Rhinolophus ferrumequinum: one gene and its partners. The protein of the gene in region 3 purifies or fractionates together with the protein of the main gene of each other region. This does not show direct contact. Links are inferred from orthologs where the notes say so. Each region holds a gene or a part of one and is shown on either strand. Other genes may lie near its edges.

Evidence for each region.
Region 1: the proteins of EIF5 (region 3) and EIF3B fractionate together in Homo sapiens (co-fractionation; 3 studies listed by BioGRID and IntAct, with this or other methods). This does not show direct contact. The link is inferred for Rhinolophus ferrumequinum from reciprocal best matches to the Homo sapiens genes EIF5 and EIF3B.
Region 2: the proteins of EIF5 (region 3) and EIF3G purify together in Homo sapiens (affinity purification with western blotting; 3 studies listed by BioGRID and IntAct, with this or other methods). This does not show direct contact. The link is inferred for Rhinolophus ferrumequinum from reciprocal best matches to the Homo sapiens genes EIF5 and EIF3G.

What each region holds. Positions count from the first base shown.
Region 1 is NC_046307.1:43,408,407-43,415,830, forward strand, and holds the start of EIF3B (eukaryotic translation initiation factor 3 subunit B), read right to left. Parts: upstream 3,027-7,424; 5' UTR 2,985-3,026; coding exon 2,534-2,984; intron 1-2,533.
Region 2 is NC_046301.1:40,043,093-40,050,214, reverse strand, and holds the start of EIF3G (eukaryotic translation initiation factor 3 subunit G), read right to left. Parts: upstream 3,068-7,122; 5' UTR 2,984-3,067; coding exon 2,964-2,983; intron 2,816-2,963; coding exon 2,769-2,815; intron 2,259-2,768; coding exon 2,175-2,258; intron 2,065-2,174; coding exon 1,976-2,064; intron 1,875-1,975; coding exon 1,815-1,874; intron 999-1,814; coding exon 894-998; intron 799-893; coding exon 609-798; intron 1-608. UniProt on the Homo sapiens protein: RNA-binding component of the eukaryotic translation initiation factor 3 (eIF-3) complex, which is required for several steps in the initiation of protein synthesis.
Region 3 is NC_046289.1:1,845,834-1,853,335, reverse strand, and holds the start of EIF5 (eukaryotic translation initiation factor 5), read left to right. Parts: upstream 1-4,482; 5' UTR 4,483-4,589; intron 4,590-4,723; 5' UTR 4,724-4,933; intron 4,934-5,262; exon of another isoform or gene 5,263-5,545; intron 5,546-5,995; 5' UTR 5,996-6,203; coding exon 6,204-6,275; intron 6,276-6,397; coding exon 6,398-6,479; intron 6,480-6,773; coding exon 6,774-6,946; intron 6,947-7,242; coding exon 7,243-7,354; intron 7,355-7,502.

The DNA of each region.
Region 1 (7,424 bases), on a different chromosome or scaffold from region 3:
CAGCTGGGGAACAGTGCCTCGTGTTCTGGAACCCAACTGTCACTCTCATTTCTTTATTATACTCTTAAGAATTTCAACAGGCCAAACTGGACACAAAGTATTTTTTGCTGCATTTCTTTCTCAAAAGTTAAGAAGAATTCTCTCCACTTTTGTGTTTGAAATTTTCCGTAAGTTGAAAAATCTTTCAAAAAGCAAAGCATCCTTTAATTTCAAGAGGCATGCCCTGTTATAAACTATTTCTAATTAATTTCAACCCTTTATGAATGATACTGAAAATGTTACCTAAAGAATTGCCACTTAAATTTCTAAGAAGTTAAAATTGAGACCAAGCAGAGGGAAGAGGGAAAGAGGCAGGTTCGAGTCACAGCAACGGAGGCATCTACCCCAGAGACTGGAGTCAGTCCCTGGGTTCTTTTTAAAGTCCACTTACTATACAATTAAGTGGCCTGTTCAGCCTGATCTGAGTTTACAAGGTTCACAATAAAAAGCCCAGTTTTTATACAAACTGTGGACGCCTTCCCACAACCTTAAAGTTCTTTACAGGAACAAGAATTCTTTTTAAGAAGCTGCCCGTGCACAGTAAGGGAATAGATGCAGTCACTATACGTGAAGAAACACATTTCCATCATCACTACCAGCCTACACCGCTGGTTACTCCTGACTGATGGATTCCCAATCTGGCTCCCAGAGAAACAGAAAGAAGCAATTCTCAAACTAAATAGCAGATATAAACATAAATACTATTTAATGAACTAAAAAGACACTTAAGAGTCAAAACTTTTATATATGTTTGGCCAAGCACCATAAGCAGTTGAAAATTAAAAGTGAAAGGATGGTTGTAATTCAGACACAACTGTGCAAAAGGGCCAGTGTTTCAGAGAGGAGAGGCTGCTCTGCTCTCAAGCGCTGGACCTCATGGCACCTGTGAGAGGCGCTCGCTGCACGAGACTCAGTCCATTCTCAAAAGAAGCGGTACCTTGGGCATCTCAGCTCCCCTACAGGGGGTTCTCATGAAACACAAAACAGACTTGAACTACTGACCACAACCAAGTGGACTCAAGAAAACTGAAGGTTTGCTTAGTTTTAATTCCTTAGGACCAGGAGCCTCACAGGTCACTCTGGCAAAAACATGACGATTACATGGGCTCCAAAAGGTCTGCCCAGCTGTCACCTAACCTGGCTGGCCTTGGGCTCATGTTAACATTCTCTGTCACACACAATTTTGGAAATAATTCACGTTAAAATCTTGTGTGAATTAGATGTCTTCAAATAATGCTTTATAAAAAAATCAATTGCAGAGTAAATACTGGAGGGCTCAAAATGGCCTTTGAAAATCAAAACTTAGATTTCAAAATACACCAGAAGTCGTGTGGTAAAAACAACACTGGTCTGGGCAGGGACGTCCCCGCATCACTGTCTCCCTGTCAGTTCCCAGCCACCTGCTTGGTGGGAAGCCTTCCCAGGGCTTCACTAGCTTGTGGGGGCTTTCCTGCTTCTCATGCTAACGTGCCTTTTACCTTATGAAACACAGTGACAATAACAGGTAACCCTTTAGAATCATGTTTATAAGTTGGCAAATCTATGTTGGTTTTCTAAACTTTTTCATTTTGCTTGACATTCTTTCCGATTCTGACTCAATCTCAGTGCGATCAGACACATCTCCAATCTTTGTGTCTGAACACGGGACACCTCATTTTCTTGGTGTGTCACTGCTGGCGCCACCTTCCCGTTTTACTATAGAGCAGTCAGTACAGTGATGTGCTGCAAGCCTGTCGAGTTCAAACGGCTAAAAACAAAACAGAAGCAAACGATACAGTAAGATCAACTATCATCAAGTCACTTCAGAAGACAGGCTGTCAGGCAGGAAACAGAAAGAAACGTCTGTGAGTCTAAAGGAGGGCAGAGCACGGCGTGGTCAACACCCCCAAACCCTGGAGAAACGACCTGCCGGAGGAGGAGGGGACCTGCTCCTGGGCTGACCGAAAGAGGGGCCCGGAGAGGAACGTGGCCGAACGGCCTGGCACAGACCCACGAAAGGGCTCCACGAGGGCACAACCTTCCGCCGGGCAGAGACAAGGCACCCACAGCCTGTTCTGGGGACGGCATCACACCCACCGCTGAGGGGACCGCCCGGGGGTGTTCCAGGACCCGGACAGCCGTGGCGGACTCTCAGGGCACCCAGACTTGCTGCCGGGGAACTGTCGCCAGAGACCGCGCCGCTCGTGGGGCGTCCTGCTCCGCGCGACCCTAAATGCCACACCGCCGCACGCACGGCCTCAGCGCCCGCTACACGCCTCTGCCCTCGACCTCCAAACACCTGGCCGCAGGAATGGCCGGCTCCCCAAGTTGTCTTCATCCTGCCCCCCCCACTCCTGGAGAAAAGGCAGTCCGGGCTCCCACGGAAAAGCCTCCCTACGTGCGGGACCACAGGTGTAGAATGGAGACGCCCCCCGCCGACTCCCGCGGCGCACCGGGACCCGGGCCGCGTCCGGGGCCTCGAGCACCTTCGCGCAGCCAGGCCCAGCCGCCCTACCTTCCTCGCTCACGTCGTCCACAAAGTCCTCGGGGTCGCTGAAGGAGGGCTCGTCCGCGTCGCCGTCCTCAGCCGCGCCGCCCAGCTCCTCACCCGCTCCGTCGGACCGGGCCTCAGCTGCCGCGTCCCTGGCCTGTTCCCCAGGGGCCTCGCCCACGGCAGGGTCCGGGGACTCCTCGGGCGACTGCAGGGACGGGGCGGGGGTCGCGCTTGCCGCTTCCTCCCCGTCGGCCGCGGGCTCGGCCGGCACTTCAGGCCCCGGCCCGGCCTCTGCTTCAGCCTCAGCCTCCGCCTCCGCGTCCTCTCCGCCCGCCGCCTCCTGCGCGCCGAGCCCCGCGAGCCGCGGCGGCTCCTCGGCCGGTGGCGGCTCGGCGTCCAGCTGCTGCTGCTGTCCGGGCTCGGCCCGCTCCTCGGCCGCCTCCGGCGCCGCCACGTTCTCTGAGTCCTGCATGAGCCCGCCGCTGCCGCCTCGCCCGGCCTCGCCGCGCTTCCGACTCTCCCAGGCCGCACCGCGCCTACCGCCGGGCCATGTGCGTGCGGCGGGGCATCCCACGAGGATCAGAGGGGTGCGCGTCCACGCCCTGCTGCCTCACAGCGTGGCCGGAGGAACTCAGAGGGCAGAAGTGCGTCTACCAGTGATTACGATCGTGCTCCCCTGACAAGTACGTGCTCAGTTCCAATCACCACAGTTCCTCGGCTCAACGTACAAACTCATTGGGAACTATAACCACCCTACTTTTGGTAGAGGATGGTTTCGCCCAATATGGCAGCCACTCTCGTCCTTCTCCCGTCGGGCGCTACGGCGAAGGACTAAACTATTTATGACGCCGATCGGAGGTACCAGAAGTCAGCTTAGTATTCAGAATTGTGTGGAAGCATAGCTCAAAGATTAATACTAGAAAAAATTGTAAGTTCAACAAACTATTTTGGTTGTGATGTCTCAGCCTTTCACCGGGCAGTTTCGCTTACATTACTGAGTCCCCCCCTTGACATGTCGGTTTTTAGACTCGTCTACTGACTGGGCACAAGAATGGACGATTCCAAAATACAAAAGGAATTCCTGGTAAGCCAGAGATGGCCAGCACTCCTAGAAAGACGCTCTCTAGCGCAATACAAAAGTAAATGAGAGTTGCTTTCATCAGGTATGCCCAAGCCCATCGAGGAGGCTGTAATTCCGCCTTTCCCCATTCTGATGGTCACCATGGTTCTGTCCGCAGAAGCCTGGGCCCTCGGACGCGGGAGCGAGCGCGAACCACGTGCTCGGGGCCGGGGCGGGGCCAGGAGCTGGAAGCTGCCCCCGGTGAGTGACAGGAGGCGGCGCGACAAGTCTGGCTCGGGCTTGCTCCCTTCGGAAAGGGTATTCTGTATTTGTGTCTTGTACTTTGCTTATTGCCAGGCGTGAGGGCAACCGCTCGTTGGAGGTGTTTTAATCATCCAAAAAAAGAACTGAGTGGCTGGGGGTAGAGGACCGGGGAGTTGTTTAATGGGAACAGTTTCAGTTTGGGAAGATGAAAAGTTGCCGAGATGGAGAGTGGTGATGGATACACAACATTGTGAATGTATTTAATGCCACAGAACTGTGCAGTGAAAATGGCTAAAATGGTAAATTTAATGTATATTTTACTTCAATTGAAAAGAAAAAAACGTGTTCTTGTGTTGCCTCATACTAAGTTTGAATCTTCCCCATCTTACTTTCAGCTGTAACTTTGGGCAGGTCACTTGACTTCTCTGCCTCAGTTTCCCTGTCTGTAAAATGGGGAGTAACCCATTTTATGTGCGTGGCCTGTGGACTCGTTTCATAAAGACAAACCGATTCCTCCTAGAGGTCAAAGTTTTCCTAATTTCTAGTTTCATCCGCAGTTTTCACAGATCGTTGGGCTCTGCTAGCCCTTTTCTTCTAGAAAGTGCTAACAGTGACAGATGTGATCGAGGATAGACACTCCCGGAAAGCTTGGAAACAGCTGATGTAGGTTTGGCAGCTTCATGCTTTTCAGGGAAGACCTCTGTGGCATGCACGTGCTACATAGAGTGGCCGCTCACTGCTATTCCCCGGTGAAGGGACTTGGCATGTGCTTTAATGCAGGGAAAGTTATGAATGAACTCATGAAAGGGAAAAAAATATGCGTTTTCCAATATCCGCTAGTGCCCTAGAGCGAGCGCCAACACCCTCAGCAGTGCCACCAGCCTCAAAGGTCTGAGAAGGGCTGCAGCTGATATCCAGGTGGTAGGAGCACCCAAGTGGGTACTCTGCTTCACAGGTGCTGTTTTCTTTACGAGTTGCAGGCTTGTGGCTGCCCTGTGGGGAGCAGGTCTATCGGTGCCTTTTTTCCAACAGGCTCAGATGATGGTTAGATGGTTACCATTTTCTAGCAATAGAATATTTTTAAATTAAGGCATGTACATTATTCTTTTAGACATAATGCTATTGAACACTTACTTAATAGCTGACAGTATGGTGTAAAGATAACTTTTATATGCACTAGGAAACCAGAAAATCCTCGTGACTCGCTTTATTGCAGTATCCGCTTTACGGCTGTGGTCTGGAGTGGAACCTGCCGTACCTCAGATCTGCCTGTGCCTGGTCAGAAAAGAATGTATGATTCTTGCCGTCTTAGAATGACTGTGTGATCGGAGCAACGTTTGTGGGTCCAAACATGACAGAAGTGTGTGTAGTGGTGCATTTGTGATAAGTTCACAAATTCTTAGGTACTCCTTTCAAAAGTGGAAGCCAAACCCTGCTCCCCCAAAGTGGGGGTGGACTTAGTCACTTCTAATGAACAGGATGTGGAAGAAGGGATTTTAGGTGATTTCCATGTCTAGGTCCTGAAAATGATGAGCTTCCACCTGGCTTGGGCTTTCTCTCTCTCTCTCTCTCTCTCTCTCTCTCTCTCTCTCTCTCTCTCTCTCTCTGGTCACTGGCCCTGAAAGAAGCTAGCCACCATGTCCTGAGGACACTCAAGCCATCTGAAGGGGCCCCCATTGGAAGAACTGAGCTCCCTACCCTACATTAGCACCAACTTGCCAGACACGTGAAATGGGAGTGGATCCTCCAGCCCCTGTCAAGCCTTCAGATGGCTGCAGCCCCAGCCATGTCTTAGGACAGGCCTCAGGGAAAACCAACCTTGTCGAAACCTTGTCTTGGACTTCCAGCCTCCAGAGCTGTGAGACATAAATTTCTGTTTAAGCCGCTCTCTCTGTGGTGTTTTGTTATGACAGCCCAAGCACACTCATACGATAGGTAACTATGTAAAATACATAGAAAGAGGCCTGGAAGGATATACATTAAACTGAAGACAGGGTTTGATGATGGTAAGTAGTATTGGTGGTGTTGGCCAAAGAAAAATGTTTACTGTAGAATCTAAGTGAATGCTTTGTGACTGTTCACTGTAAAATTCTTTCAATTTTTCTGAGTGTTTGAACGTTTTTATAGTAAATTTTTTGGGGAAAGGACTTTAAGAGGCCCCCCCCCATTGCAACAATTTGAGCCTCAAAAAGACTAAAAACTCAATATGACATTCATAAAGTATGTTTAAATCCTTTTGTTCATAATGCTATTTTTAAAAAATCCTGTTGATCACAGGGGAATATTGCTGGAGCATTGTCTCGTTATTCTGGAAAGAAAGAAAAGACTCAAGCACACCATGGATGAGCCTTGAGGACATTATGCTAAGTGACTAAGCCAGACGGAAAAGGACAAGCACTATATGATTCCAGTCAGATGAGGTCCCTAGAGGAGTCACTTCATAGAGACAGAAGGTAGAACGGTGGTTATTGGGGCTGGGGAGTGAGTGTTTCACAGAGACAGAGTGTCAGTTTGGGAAGATGGAAACTTCTGGAGACGAACGGTGGTGATGGCTGCACAACAATGTGAATGTGCTCAATGCCGCTGAGCTGGACACTTAAAAATGGTTAAGATGATAAATTTTATCTTGTGTATATTTTACCAAAATAAAATGTTTTAAAAAGAAAACAATTCTTGAAAGCCGTCAGTTCTGGTGGTAGTCCTCCTGCCAGCCAGATGGTAACCTGAGCTGGATGCTGAATTGACGGCCTTAGTCTTTTCCTAGGTGAATCGTCCCCTTTGGGTGTTGGGAGTCGTGGACAGAATTAAGGAATCCGCAGAAGAAACACCTCGCCTCCAGGTGGCGATCTCGGCCCGCCCTCTGCAGGTAATGAAATGGGGTTGCTGTTTCACTCCTTACGTTCCTAACATAGTACGCAGCTCTCAGATGAGTTTCTGTCATTTCTGCAGGATATTTGATCTGAACAGGGCTGTCTGTAAGCTCACAGAGCAGGGAGAAGAGTGAAGAGGGATAGGTGGACTCACAGGGTCCATCAAATATGGCCCACATCATGCACGCTTCTCACTTGACCAAGCCTACCTCTGCCTTCTGCAAAGGCTGATTTGCCCCCTCTCTGCAGATGGGGGGCATGGTCAGGAATCAGACAGCCCTTGTTCGACTCCCGGGGACCTTGAGCAAGTTCTTTATCTTCTCTGAGCCTGTTTCCTCAGTGTGACATACATGACCTTGGAACAAGCTCGAGGGGTCCGTAGGGTGGGGAGCGTTTCCGCCTTGGTCCTCGCTGTACCATGCAGTAACAAACCCAGCTGCCAGGCACTGTTCTAAGACATCACACGGTTTCGCTCAACTAGTTCTCAGGCAGCCCCCAGAAGCGGGGACTGCTAATGCCTCCACTCTGAAGGGGGCGTTCCAGCCAGGGCTGGCTTCAGCCGCTCCCCTCCACTGGGCCCTGCCCCACTCGGCTCTGTTCTATCCTGCCACCTCCCTTTTTCAGAAACAAATGCCTTCACTGTGGTCCTTTGTGCAGAGGGTGGTGGGCACTGGAAAGTGGAGTCTGTGGTGATGTATCCCTCATCAGGAGGGCAGAA
Region 2 (7,122 bases), on a different chromosome or scaffold from region 3:
CACAGAGCAACATGGGGCAGGGAAAAGCCCCAGGGGACACACGGCAGGTGACAAGCACGCCGCACCCAAAAGTCAGATGTAGAGCTGTCTGGACTCAAACTTACCCTCAGCAAATCACGCTGAAGGACAAGGACCGCAGACAGTCAGCTGTGTGTCTGCTCGCAGGTGTGTGTGCACAGAAGCACACACGGGGCAGCCGCCGCACCATGGCAGACAGACACGGCACACTCACGTCAGACCATCTCCAGTCCGCAGCAAAATCACTGCAGGCATGTCTCACTCACGGGGTCGCCGTCTCCCCACTCCTCCCGGTGAGGTACACAGGCATGCACACAAGCAGGTCTCACAGCCCCCGACAAGGAGACAGGTGACATCACCAGCCGTCACAACACCCACCCGGCCGGTCTCTCACACACACACAAACACAGACTGTAGCCCACAGGCTTTGCGGAGCTGACACTGTGGTGTGGGAACAACAGCTACGATGGACAGCCCGTTCAGAGAGAGCAGGTGACAGACCAGGACTCTCCAGAAGGGCACACAGCCTCCCCCTCCACCATGGTCCCCATGCAGCACGGCCTGCCAGCCGCACCCCCAGCCCCCGGCACCTCCAGGCAGCTTCTCCTTCTCGCCAGTAGACAGGCCCAGCTGCTCGGCCAGCTCCTTCTGCATGGGCCCCAGCGTGTCCTTGTAAGGGCAGCGGGTGGTCCAGTGGTCGCCCTTGCAGATGCGGCAGGACACGATCTTCTGGCCCTTGAGCTTATTCATCGGGTCCTCCTCCTCTTGGCAGTTCAGATCCTGACAGGATGGACAAGGGCAGCTCAGAGGAGGGCTGCTGCACCCCTGCCACCAAGAGCCTGGCCAGCACCTTCCCGCCCTATTGCCTCATTTACCTCTTTGCTGGTGATGAAAGTCATGGACACATCATCGCTGACCGTGGTGGTGGCCACATTAGGCCCTGGTAGGTCAAACTCTGAGTTCCCAAACTTCTTCCAGTTCTGGGCTCAGGGCAGGGTGGGGACAGGTCAGGGCAAGAGCAGGTAGGACCACCGCCCCCTGGTACCCAGACCTGCAACAGCGCCCTTCAGGGTGACTGAGCCTTAAACCCCATTCTCCACCCTCTCCAAATGCCCCCTATAGCAGTGACGATGACAGTTCCTATTTCCTGAGTGAGTGCCAGGCTTCACGCCAGCTCCAGGAGGCAGGGGCAGTTCTCACCCCATATTCCAGATGAGAGAACAGAGGCTCAGGGAAACACCTGCACAGCCAACAGCTCCTGGGGGGGCTGTGCAGGTGGTGGCCCAGCTGCCACCAGGGAGTAATGCTCAGGAGTATGCAGGGGTCATCCAAACTTCGGGGGCCTTGGGCTAAACAACCTGGGCCTCAGCTTCCTCTCCTATAAAATGGGGATCACAAATGCTCCCCACCTCCCTGGGTTGCTATGGGGATCAAAATGAGAAAACACTTCCCACAGGGCATTTGGCATGGGGTCTGGCACACAGTGTGCAGATAACTGTGCCAAATGGATTTATTGCTACCACTTCCACTGCTATGACCACCTCAGGGGAACGTTTAGCTTTGTTCCTCCTGGTAGACAAGTCAAGAAGCATAAGAAGCTACCCAACCACTCCTGCAACTTGGACTGTTTGGGGCCTCAACAGAGTACAAACACTCCTCGCCTCAATTCTCCTCCAATAAAATCGGTTAAACTCTTAGACCTCACTTCTGAAAATAAAGGCACTGGGAAAAAGGATTCTTAATTCCTCTGAGTTAGCCCTGGGGTAAGCCCCCAAGACAAGGGAGCAGGGTCTCACCTTCCTCCTTGCAACAGCCTTTGAAGCCTTCCGGGTCTCAATTCTGAAGGTGCGGACAATCTGTGGATGGGAGAGGAGAGGAGAGGAGACATTTGGGCTTCCTGTCCTCAAGGCTCCTGGGCCCAAGGACCCGCCTGACACACCCCTGCTCCCAGCCTCACCTTGAACTTTTTGCCATCCTCATCTATCTTGTACTCAGTCACTGTCTTGATGTTTCCATTGATGACCTCCTTAGGAGACGGAAGTGGAGCTGGATGAAGGGAGAAGGGGAGAGGAACTGAGCCACGGGTAATGGGGTCCCCGCGGAAATGTGGCTGGGGAGAGAGGCAGCCCAGGCATGGAGTGGAGGTCATCACTCACCTCCTGGCAGTAGCTCAGGCTCTGGGCTGGTGTCGCCAGTGGCCAGAGGTATCCCCTTGAGGAGTTCGCTGGTGACACATTTGTCTGTGAGAGGGAGTGTGGGGAGGAGAAGTGAGGTGAAGGGGCGGGAGCTCCCAAGCTGAATGAAATACAGGGACCTTTAGGATGATGCCCACGCCAGGACCTGAAGAAGGTGGGACCGGGGGCAGAGGGCTGGCCAGGAAGTACCCAGGGACAGCTGTGCGGGGACACTGAGCTGGCTGTAGTGACCCAGAGCAATGGCAAGGATAGGGGGCCGCCTGGCATAAAGGCAGGGAGGGGCAGGCCATCAAAGCATCCGGGCGCTGGTACAAAGGCAGAAGGCAGGCTGTTACAACTTCCTCCTGAGTAGGGGAGCGGCTATGAGGGCTTGGGCTGTGAGGCCTGGGGAGGAAGAGGGACTGGCCAGTGAACATCTGGAATTGGCGACAGGCTGGCGCAGATAGGGATGGCGCGGGGCAGAGGCTGGCCGTGGGGGGCGATGCGGGGTCGGCCGGCGGTGCCAAGGTAGAGGGCTAGAGCAGGCGCAGTGACCGGACGACCTGGCGTACTCACCGTCCTCTCCTTCCTCCTCCACCTGGTCGGCCCAGCTGGGCTTCGAACTGCGGGGACAAGTTTGTGGGAGCAAAGGGGTGAGCCAGCGAGGCGAGGCTCCCGCGGCCTCCGCGTACCCAGGCCCCAGAAAACCCCCGAGGACCCTTAAGGCACCTTCCGCCCCCACACCCCACCTTCTGGCGACCCTCGACTCACTCAAAGTCTCCAGTCGGCATCGCAAAACCTCCACGCAGCCCAAGCCTGGGCCAAAGACAGGAAGTGAGGGAAAACTGAAACTTCCGTTGCCGCGGCCTAGAACAGCCCGGCCGCGGGGCCCACAGCGCCCCTTGCGGACGGAGGGGGAGGCGCCAGTTGTGTGAGCTGCTACGCGCTAGTACCCAAGTAGGAGCAGAAGCGTTATCTCAGGGCTTATCCCTTTACCTTTTTGTTTTTAATTGTTAATTATACCTCAGTAAAAAAATAATAAAGTAAAATAATTAATAATAACAATTATGCCAACTCATTAAGCGCTTGCTGTGTGCTAGGCACTGTGAGGAGAAAATTATCATTTCCATTTTGCAGCTGAAAAAAGCAAGGCTGGTCTTCCTCGTCTCCAAAGCACTTCCTGATTCAGATGCTCAAGATGTCAAGTGGCGCCCTCAAGCACTCTCCTTTCTTTCCTTTGTAAATTCTTGGCTCTCTGATATAATCTTTAACACTTACTTGTTTATTGTACAGCTCTCCCTTTAAAGCATGCATTCTCAATGGGAGCGATATGGCTCCCAAGGGGACCAAAATTAATTCGGGTGGGGGGCAAAAATCCTTAAAAATTACAATGGCTTGTGGCCTTCCAAAACCAACCCTCTCAGACAAAATCTTATTACTAAGTATTTAATTTCTGTCATTAGGGAGAAATTAAATGCAATTAAATTGAAATTGATTGACTTACATTAAATTTAAAGACAATTCCATCCTTTTCCTTTACAAGGGTGATAATGAAAAAAGTTTCATTATGTGAAACACTGTTGTAGAATGTCAGCTGCAGAAAGCAGACATTTGCCTACTTTGTTCACCTGTGGGTCCCCAGCACCCACAGGGTGACTGCATGTAGTAAGTGCTCAATTAATGGGCATTTAGGGGGGCAGAGTGGGAATCAGATCATAAAGGACTTTTTAAACCAAACTGAAGAGTGTAGTCTCTTTATCCTGTAGGCAGTGGGTATGGGTGAGATCACTGACATGTTTTTTGTTTTTTAATTCTTATTGGGGAATATTGGGGAACAGTGTGTTTTTCAAGGACCCATCAGTCATTGTCCTTCAATCTAGTTGTGGAGGGCGCAGCTCAGCTCCACGTCCAGTTGCTGTTTTCAATCTTAGTTGCAAGGGGCACAGCCCACCATCCCATAGGGGAATTGAACCAGCAACCCTGTTGTTCAGAGCTTGCACTCGAACCAACTGAGCCATCCAGCCACCCCAGAGATCACTGACATGTTTTGAGAGGTGACCCAGTATGACCAGATTTTTTTGTGAGAAAGATTATTTTGGAAGCCTATAGAGGGTAAAGTAGAAAAGAATGAATTAGCAAGAGACCAGGAAGGAGACTGGGAAAGTGAGTGAAAGAAAGAGGGTGGTCTGGAAATAAGGATGAAAATATAAAGTTTGTACGAAGGGCCAATAAACATTTGTGCACTTACTCAAATTTACTCCAAGAAATGCAAAATACAAACAACGTAGCAGATGGGCAAAACTTTAAAAATGTGATGTTACCCAAAGGTAGCAAAGATGTAGAGAAACAGAGGCTTGTACCTTTTGTTGGTATGTGAAATTATGCAAACTTTTTGGAGGGAAATTTGACATATACTAAAACTTGAAATGCACAGATGTATTTTCCTTTGAGCCACCTAGTAATTTGAACTGTGAGAAAAACTTGTAAATGTTTGCAAAGATGTGAAAATAAGATACCCGTGCAGGATTGTTCATGATAGCAAAAGTCAGAAACAATTATCTGTCCATTTGGTAGGGCTGGTTAAATAGATTAAAGTATGTTTTTTCCATTATCTATGGAATGCTATGCAGTCTTGAAAGAAGTAGATTCATTTGTGCTCATGTTTTAAAAAATCACGATAAGAGGAGGAAGCAAGATGTAAAGTGGCATATGCTATAGGAACCAATTTGTGTAAATCTTTAATTGTACATAGATATGTAGATATATGCAAACTATTTTCAGAAAAGAAATATCAAACTGTTGCTGAGGGATGCTCTGAGAAAGGCATCAGGGGAGAAAATCTTGTTTTTGGACTTTTCTGCTGTATTTAAAATTTTTTACCATGTGTATGCATATATTATCTTGATTTAAATATAAATATATACATAAATATAAAATTTATTTTATATACTTTATGTATTAATATGTAGTGTTTATGTAATATATGCGCGATGTAACATATAAATGTATTTTACTATGTTTTGTACATCCACTACCTTCCATACCCTCTCCTAGGACTAGCCTAGGAGAGGAAATATACATCCAAGTGCATTAAATTGTAAGGAAGTATCCAGCACAGTGTGGCTTAAAGGATTGAAAAACTGAAAACTATGCAACCATCATGAATAAAGAATTAGCTAAATGTTGCCTCATCCATACAAGCACCACCCCTGGAGAGACACTGTACTGCCCAGAGGACATTAGCCACTAAACATGGATGCTTCTGGGTGTTTCGATTTGGCCTCATCTTTACTTCCATTTTGGTATTTTTCTGCATGGAATACTTTTTCTTAAACATCTAGGATGTATCATTTTTATAAAAAGTCAAGTACTTCCCAAAGAAACGTAAAAGGAGGCCGGAGGAAGCATGGGGCAGTGGGGAGAAGACTGAATCCAAGGGTGGATGGGGGAAAGTCCCAGAGCCCCTCCTCAGTTTCTTCTTGGTGGCACCAACTTTCTTCCTACATCTGGCATCTCCAAAGGACAGCAGCCAGCACAGAGCAAACCCAGCTCTGCAATGTGCTTGAGGAGGGGAGCGAGAGCATGATATGCCGTCCTCTGGAAACTCTGCAGCAGCTTCAGGGGGGTTTGCTATAACTCACAATATGGATTCCACTTCTTGGTGTTCTCCATAAGAAATGGAAACATGTCCACAAAAAGCCATGCGTTAGAATATAGACACGGATTGTTCATAGCAGCTTTATTCACAATGGCCAAAAACCAGGAACAACTTCAATTGGTTCGCTAGAGCTTCCATGACAAAGTACCACAGACTGGGCAGCTTTAACAACAGAAATTTATTGGTCTGTCTACGGTATTGCCACACGCCCAGTCTGAGAACTGGGACTGGAATAGAGGTGGTGCTGATCAGTAGTTGTCTGACGCTGTCCACGTTTTCTATTATAATAGTAGTCACAGATGGCTACATGTGAGTGTAGATAAAGCCTACAAGCACATTACACATGTGCACAATAATGGTCACCGGGGCAATGACAGGGTATTAGAGAAGCTTCCTTGTGACACTGAAAGGAGAAACAAACGCTGACCATTTTGTTTGTTGTGGAATTCACTGTACTTTTTCTACAGCTGGCCTTTTTCTAAAAACTCCAAACATGCTTGAGGGAGAAAAGCAGGTTGCAGATAGATATGTGCAGTAGAATAACATTTATCTTTTTCAAAGACACGGAGAATACTAAGTGTACGGACATGCAGATGTGGTAAGTGCCAAAAACCATGGACAGGAAGGAGACATAGCCACACTCTCATAGTGGCTGCGTCTGGGGGAAAAGTAGGCAGGGATCTGGGAAGTGCACAAGTGTTTCAGATGTGCCTTGAAAGTTATTTTATGAAAAAACCATCTGCTGTGATGGGAAACAGTTTGGCAGTTCCTCAAAAAATTAAACACAGAAATTCCATATGATCCAGCAATCCCACTCCTAGGTATACTCTCAAGATAATTGAAATAGAGGTTATTGGGGCTGTACAGGGAGGAGGGAATGAGGAGGTAGTGTTTAATGGCTCCAGTTTCTGTTTGGGAAGATAAAAATGTTCTGGAAATAGTAGTAATGGTTGTATAATAATGTGAGTGCACTGAATGTCACTGAATGGTACACTTGAAAGGGTTTATATGGTTTAAAAAAACCACCCAAATCCAGCCATGATTCTTGACTGAATAAATTAGATCATTAGGGGTTGCAGAATGATTACCTAAATCTACTATTTCTCCTACATTTATAAACTGCCATTCTATCGGAAATAGAGCGTTCTCCTCATCAGCAGGCACCATCTGGTTATCATCAAATACAGTTCCTTCTGGATAAAGGCTTGCTTTTCTCCCTTTAATGATTTCAAAGTGTGACATTTAATAGTCACCTCAAATGGTAACGAGGCT
Region 3 (7,502 bases):
AAATCTATTAGAAATCTCAGTTCTGAGTCCCCCCCAGACCTAGAATCACAGTCTGGGGGCCCTGTGATCTGTGTTCTATTCAGCCCTTGGGGACTCTGATGCTCACCACATTTAAGAGCCACTGGTTTAGGGAAATCAGCCTTACACTAGGATAGGCATCCTTTAAGAAACACAGAGCCCAGAATGTAGCCGTAGAGATTTATGCTCAGAAACTCCGCCTGACGACAGCTTTGCCCTATGTGACAGCTGACACACCGTGCTTCCTGGTGGTGTGGGTCTAGGGCTCCAGCACGGGCCACAAGACACCAACCATCAGGGATCCGTTAGCTGTCTGGTCTCTGGACTCCATCTGTCTAAATGGACCAAATGTGCCAAATTCACATCAAAAGAGGACACTGTGTGGCAGAGATTGGGTACATACTGAGATGCTCTCTCACAAAGGTTTACAAATGGCTGTCTGGAATCAGAGCGGGAGTCCCACTGTCTTGCAACACTTCGGCTTATTCCAGCCCTTTTTTGCACACACCATGTATTCTCAGGGCAGCGCCCTGTGTGTGAGTAATGCCTTTCCAACTGACACTGGAGTCGTATAGTGGAGGGTCCAGTTCCCCAGCCACACACCTGGCTTCCCTGAAGAAAGGACCCAAAGCAAGCCTGGAGCTCCTAGTACGGTCGTGTCCTGGACCGGGGTGCTGTGCGTGGCTCCCATGTGACCGAGACACAACCCATCCAGGAGCAAGGCCTTCCCTCCGAGTCATCCACACTTCCCCACCATCTACTGAATAGAAACCATTTTGCACTTTTTTCTCTCTTTCCAGGAATGGCACGAAATAGACTCTGGTGGGAGTTACGTGCTCAGGAGAAGGAAGACATCACGTCAGTCTCCTGGATGCTGGCGTGACCTTGCCTGGGTGCTTCTTCTCTTCCTCACAGACAGCTCTGATTCCTGCCTCTGTCTCCTTCAAAACTGAAGGCCCCCAGTCCTCCGCCAAAGTTCAGATTCCTTTGTTGTCTTCAAGGACAAGGCCGCTGCCTGCAAGTTGTTTAGCCCAGTAAGGAAGGCGGACAAGTAAACAGGCACCAGCAATAAAGTGCCATGAATGCCACTGGTGTGGAGGAGGTGGGGAGGGTGTCACAAAGGTGGGAGACATCCTGTCCAGAGGCTGAGATGCCACGGAGGGGCGCATGCCTTCCGTGGGTGTCCCCCAGGCAGATACTGACCTACATTTGTTTACCTGCAGCCTCCCTGGGCAGGGCCTGTGGTGTAGGTGGGGACTGTACCTTTGCTGCCTAGCAGTTCAGAAATGTTTATTGCTCTGGCTGCATTAGATTACCACGGTTTAGGACACTAGCCCTCTACACAGCCACACCCTTCGCCACCTCTGTACACACCAGATAACCTTCAGTTCCCTTCCAGCAGCTCCGAATGTCTGTTCTATGCATCCACTGTGACAGGCTAGTGCAAGAAGAAAAACCATGCTCGCCCCCTGTAGCTCATCCTCAAGTAGGGGCGACAGGAACTTAAGTGACTAACAATCACTTTAAAACACACTGGAGGTTAGAGAAAGCTGAGAAAGGGTTGTCAAAGAGGGAGGCCAGCTGGCCAATCAGAGGCCCCTCACAGAGGCACAAGGTTCTCCATCCACACAGACTTGATCTTGCTAAGGGGGCTAATTCATGCCAAACAGATTCACAGCCACCAATATGGAAACAACCGGAAGGCCAATTTACTAATTAGCTTTTTCAGCAGCTATCCGTGTCCGCCGTCCAGGCACACACCGAAATGCAGGACCCATTCAACAAGGATATCATAAGCACCAAATGCCCATAAACTGAGCACCTGACTGGAGGAAGGAATAGCCAAATGAGGCAAAGAGATCCAGAAACAGGAGGCGGAAGCATGCAATGAGCTTGGCTTCAAACAAGCTCGAGTTCAAACACTGTCCACTTTTTACTAGACAGATGACTCTGGAAAAATTACTCAACCTCCCTGAGTCTCTTTGTCATCTGTAAAACGGGCATAACAACACTCCCTCATTGACTCTTAAAGAATTACATTAGATTACATATGAAAATTACCTAATTTAGTTTATATTTACCTGGAGAGGCTGTGTCACATAATAGTTAAGGGAACAGATTTTGAGATCATACAGATCTGGGTCTGACTTCTAGCTCTGCTACTTAATAGGTATTATCTTGGGCAAGCTGCTTAGTTTTTTTCCACTAAACCTCAGTTTGCTCGCTTGTAAAGTGGGAATAAAGATTCTTCCTAGGGGCTAAGAAGTAAATAAGATAGTGTATTCAAAGGACTTAGCAAATACCTAGGTTATGAGAGGCATTCAACAAATGGAATGGTTAAGACTAAGTTTAAAATGTTGTGTGTGATTAGATGCAGATGACTGGTACTGTTGACATATGTCCAAACCTGTAGAGAATTTTTACAAGTTTATTTGAGCCAAAACTGACATAAATTGCTGGGAAGCTAGATCTCAAATGCTTTGGAAAATGAGTTTCACGGTTTCTTTCATGCATTTGAAATTAAGGAGGGACTGTAAGAAAGATTACATGAAGGTGGGAGAAAGTGAGGTGGGGGACTGGATTACAGGACAGTTAAGAACATTATAAAAAAAATAAAGTCCTGGAAGTACACATCGTTCCCCAATAAAGTCCTGTTCCCCTTCCCCAATAAAAAAATAAATAAATAAAAAAAATAAAAAAAAGAACATTATGTGCTCTCTTGAGGATGGTTATGCTTGTTTCAAGGTGTGTTAACCTAGATGTACAAAAACAATAGACAGCGCTTGCTTAAGGCAAAGATGAACTTTTTGCTAAAAAGTTATATGCCTAGGGCGTGACTACCCACCATGACGCACCCAGTTGGGAATTTAGGATCATTTCACCCTGTGGTTGTTTTCTGTAGAACCCCTTTTTTGTCCACAGTACACATACTCTAAATTAAAGTTAAAATTAGCACAAACTTTTTGAATGAAATTAAATATGGGGCCACCAAAAAAGTAACCACTTTGTATTATTTAAATACCTTTTCTGAGGAGGCAGGCTACTTACCTCACACTAGTCTCATGCCCTTATTTTCCAACGGGGTTTCTAAAATAATGTCATTTGCATGTAGTCATGCAAACTCAAACGTTCCAAATACCACTATACTAAGACATGCTCCGCAGCGACCCAGAAGCAGCCTTTCTGGGATCTACCTTTGTAGTTTGTCCTATGGAAACCCTGGCACCCACAATGTATTACACGTGTGGTTTACACGGATGTATATACTGTAATTTTAACAAAAGCCCCTGCACCAAAGGACACAAATCACCTCTCTCAGTTTTAGCTCTTTATTCTCCCCACAGACACTGTCAATCTTAAAATGGTTTAGAAAAGCTTGTAAGTCATAGAAGAGTGATCTTGAATTTTAATAAAATTAATGTATCTTTCAATTCTAACTTTCTTGAAAATTCGACTGATCTACTACAATGGGCAGCCCCTTATCCACCTCATCCTGTCCTGAACAACATTACCACTTTATCCAAAGCTGGGGAAACCATGGCGGCTTAGAGACCACCACGGCAGGTTAGAACCAACAGCTCCGTTACTTGGCGCTTGTTCTTTTAGTCATGCATTTATTCAAATACAGTCAAGGTGGACTGACTTTTTACAATCGCAACTGAAAGTTTTACACAAGATGTTTCTGAAAGAGTGGGAGAGTTTCTGTAAGGTCAACGAAACTAAAATATGAACGGCTCTCACCGTCTGGGCTTATTTTGAGCACACTGGTAGTGGAGCACTAGAACACGGTCACCCCTTCCAAGATGCGCTTTCAGGAGGTCCTGAAAACGGATGGACGAGTGACCTGCCAAACTAGGTGCGTAGGCCGGGTGCCGGGGAGGGAGCCAGGGAGGCGGGCGATGGAGCCTCACGACGACCCTGCAATGGTGACTTGGTGAGTCACGGTCACCGCGGCCACGCAGACCTGAGCTTCGGAAGATACAGGGCAGCACTACAATGAAACTCCCAGGCCCAGCCTCCAATTTCCACTGTATGCCCAGGCCTAGGAAGTGGGGAGAAAAAAATAACTTCCCCAAGACCCGAAAGCGGGCGTCCCCGGGGGACGCAGAGGGCAGGGCCGATCCCCCGCCCCATCGAGGCTACGAGCCCACCACGGGGAGAACGCCGGCGGGAACGCGGCAGGCCAAACGGCAGGGGAGGAGAACCAACCGCCATCTACCCCCGGGAGCCCAAACCGACAAAGCGCGACCCCGCGGCCGAAGCCCGCTGTCGCGGCTCACCGGGTCTCGCGAGACCGCGAAGACTTCTGGGAAAAGCGGGGGAAAGGGAGGGCAGGTGAAGGAAGCCGGGACCCGGAGCTGGGGGCGGGATGAGGCGGCGAGTGGAGCCTCAGGAAGCAGAAGGGGCGGTGGAGGTTGCGATTGACGCGGCACGCAGGCCAATGACGAGTAAGCTCGGGCGGGCTTCTGGCCAATGGGCTGTGCCGCTTGGCGCTGGGGGCGGGCGCTGGGGCCGAGGGTAGCTTGAGCGCGGCGGCGGCGTTGTTCAGTCACAGCGAGAACATTCCAGAGGTGAGTCCTGTGGGGAGGTGGCGGCCCCGCGCCCCCTTCCCAGCCTTCCCCGCCCCCTCGACCCCCGCGGGCCGCTGGCTGGCGGGGAAGGCGCCCCGACGCCCGCGGCTCACGGCGCCGTCTCTCCGCGCCAGGTCGCCAGGCCCCGGGCGCTGAAGGGTGTGGACCCCGGACGTCGCTGGGACAGCCCCTCCCCGCTGCTCGGCGGCGCCTGCCTGGCCGCTGGTCGCTGTGCTCCTCCGCCGCCTCCGCCGCCCCTCCTCGGACTCGGGTTCACACGCGCCTCACTTCATCCCAGTCCCGGGCGAGCAGCGTTGGGTTTATGTCTTTATTTGACGAAAACGGTGAGTCCGCGGGCGGCGCGGGCCGGCGGGGAGATGGCGGCCGCACAAGATGGCGGCGCGCCGCGTGACCCGGCGCGTGTGGCGCAGTTCGGGCGGGCGGGCGGCGGGGCCCGGCGAGCGGGCGCCCCCTCCCCTCCTACACCCGGCCCCTCTCCCCTCCCCCGCGCCTCCGCCTGACGGGAGCGCGCCGCGCGGGCCCGCCGCCGGGGCTGAGTCAGGCCTCCTTGCTGCATTTATGAGTCATCGCTCGCTCCGGGGCGGGGCGGGGGCGGCCCGGGCTGGCGCCCCTCGGCAGGTTTCGTTTCCCTCGCCCCGCGGTGCCGTGGCTCTGCGCCCGCGGAGGCCGGCACATGCGGGGTGTCTGCGGCCCGCTCCACCTGCCGCGGAGGACAAGCCTGGCGATGTCGCGCCTCGCAGGCGGTGCTGGGCGCAGCCTTTGGCAGCTGCGAACGAAACGACTCGTGGCCATGGGGACGGGAGCGAAGGTTAACTGTGTGTTTGCGTAGAGCAGAGCAAGGGAGAGGAGGTCGAGGTCGGGCCACTCCGTCCCTCGGTGCACGCTCGCTCCAAGGAGACCTCGTTTCCTGTGTGTTATGGGAGTGTTTCTTTGAAGTAAGCATTTGTTGCCGAAGGAACCATTTGTGAAGAAGAGTTTCATAGTTTTCCGTCTTAAAATGACGATTCGTGGGGAGAGTGTATGGGAGCTATCAATACAGGCTCGGTTTGGGGGAGGAGAGGTTTTGTGTTCGTTTTTCATCAGTTGTTAAAATAAGGGCCACTCCACAGAAGTTGGCCTGTTACAATGCTGGGAAGCAGCGCAGTTTGTTGCTTTTAGTCTGGCGTTTCCCTGCCAGAGTCACATCTTAATCAAAATGGAGGCCTTTTATGTTGCTACAGGTGTTTCGTGTTAGGTGAAAATACACATCCTTTTTCACGCGAACCGGGCATGCTTTTCAACATGAGAAAATTAGGCATAACTAACTGGAATGTAAAGGGAGGCGTTTCCATACGGGAGTCATGCTAAGTGTGTGCGGGGTTGTGTGTTCTCCTTTTCTCTTTCAGAGCTGTTGCGCAGCCATTGGTACCTGTATTGGGGAAACATAGCATACAAGCAAGAAGCTTACAGCCTCAGTGGCGAAAACTTTTTCATGTCAGAGACCGAGAACTCTTGCAGTCGTTTATGTCATCCCTTCTTCTCCAGACAGAAGATACCAAAAAGTTGCAATCAAAGATCTCTTCATCTTATTGATAAAGCCACTAATAAGCCAAAATGTCTGTCAACGTCAACCGCAGCGTGTCAGACCAGTTCTATCGCTACAAGATGCCCCGTCTGATTGCCAAGGTAATACGGATCTTCATTTTAGTAGCAAGTCCTAAACTCCTTGCAGTTTTTTTTTGTTTGTTTTTTTTTAAGATTGTATCTCCTGGGTAGACAGTTCAAAATTAAATTCTTATTTTCTTTAGGTTGAGGGCAAAGGAAATGGAATCAAGACAGTTATAGTCAACATGGTTGACGTTGCAAAGGCGCTTAATCGGCCTCCAACGTGTAAGTAATGTCTCTTGAAGAAGTTTGAAAAGGCATATTATTGATGTAGTCATAATCATCTTTTGATTTGCATATCTTGTCTGAATTATTTACTAATTAGCTCAAGGGTTAAGTGGAACCTTGGAGTTAAAACACAACTTACTAGTTGCTAGTTGCCATTAGTACAAAGAACTACCCAGGCAACACACTTTTTTAATCTAATATAAAAACATAGGGAGTGATACTTGTATCAGTGTGGCTGAGTAGCCAAAGATGAGTTAAATGTAATGAATCAAACCTTTTTTATCCAACTAGATCCCACCAAATATTTTGGTTGTGAACTGGGAGCACAGACCCAGTTTGATGTTAAGAATGACCGTTACATTGTCAATGGATCTCATGAGGCGAATAAGCTGCAAGACATGTTGGATGGATTCATTAAAAAATTTGTTCTCTGTCCTGAGTGTGAGAATCCTGAAACAGAGCTGGTGAGTGCCTTTGAAGTTTTTGTCAATAAGAGAAGAAACAACATTGCTTTTGTGATCAGTTCTGTGATCGCTCCAAATCGTGTTCTTCAGAAGGCCGAGCGGACGTAATGTACAAATTTTGGAGATATTCCCATGCTAATTTTTTAAAGTAGATCACTGGAGGAGGGGGAGAATTCTTTGGTACGTTAAGACAGGGTTTTAGATGTCTTAATGGTAGTTGGGTATTTTCACACTTTTTCCTTACAGAATTTTCGTGTATAATGGATGACATACTTGTTTTTAATTTTTTTTGGCAGCATGTCAATCCAAAGAAGCAAACAATAGGTAATTCTTGTAAAGCCTGTGGTTATCGAGGCATGCTTGACACACATCATAAACTCTGCACATTCATTCTCAAAAACCCACCTGGTAAGTCTTCGTGATGAACTTCTAAGATCTTACTGTAAAGCAACTGTTTATTGGAAAGAAAAGGGAAGTTGGTTGCTTGCTATAAATTGGAATATAAGGAACTTACAATCCTTGCATTGTGATTTATTGAAGACATCATGTTAGGATG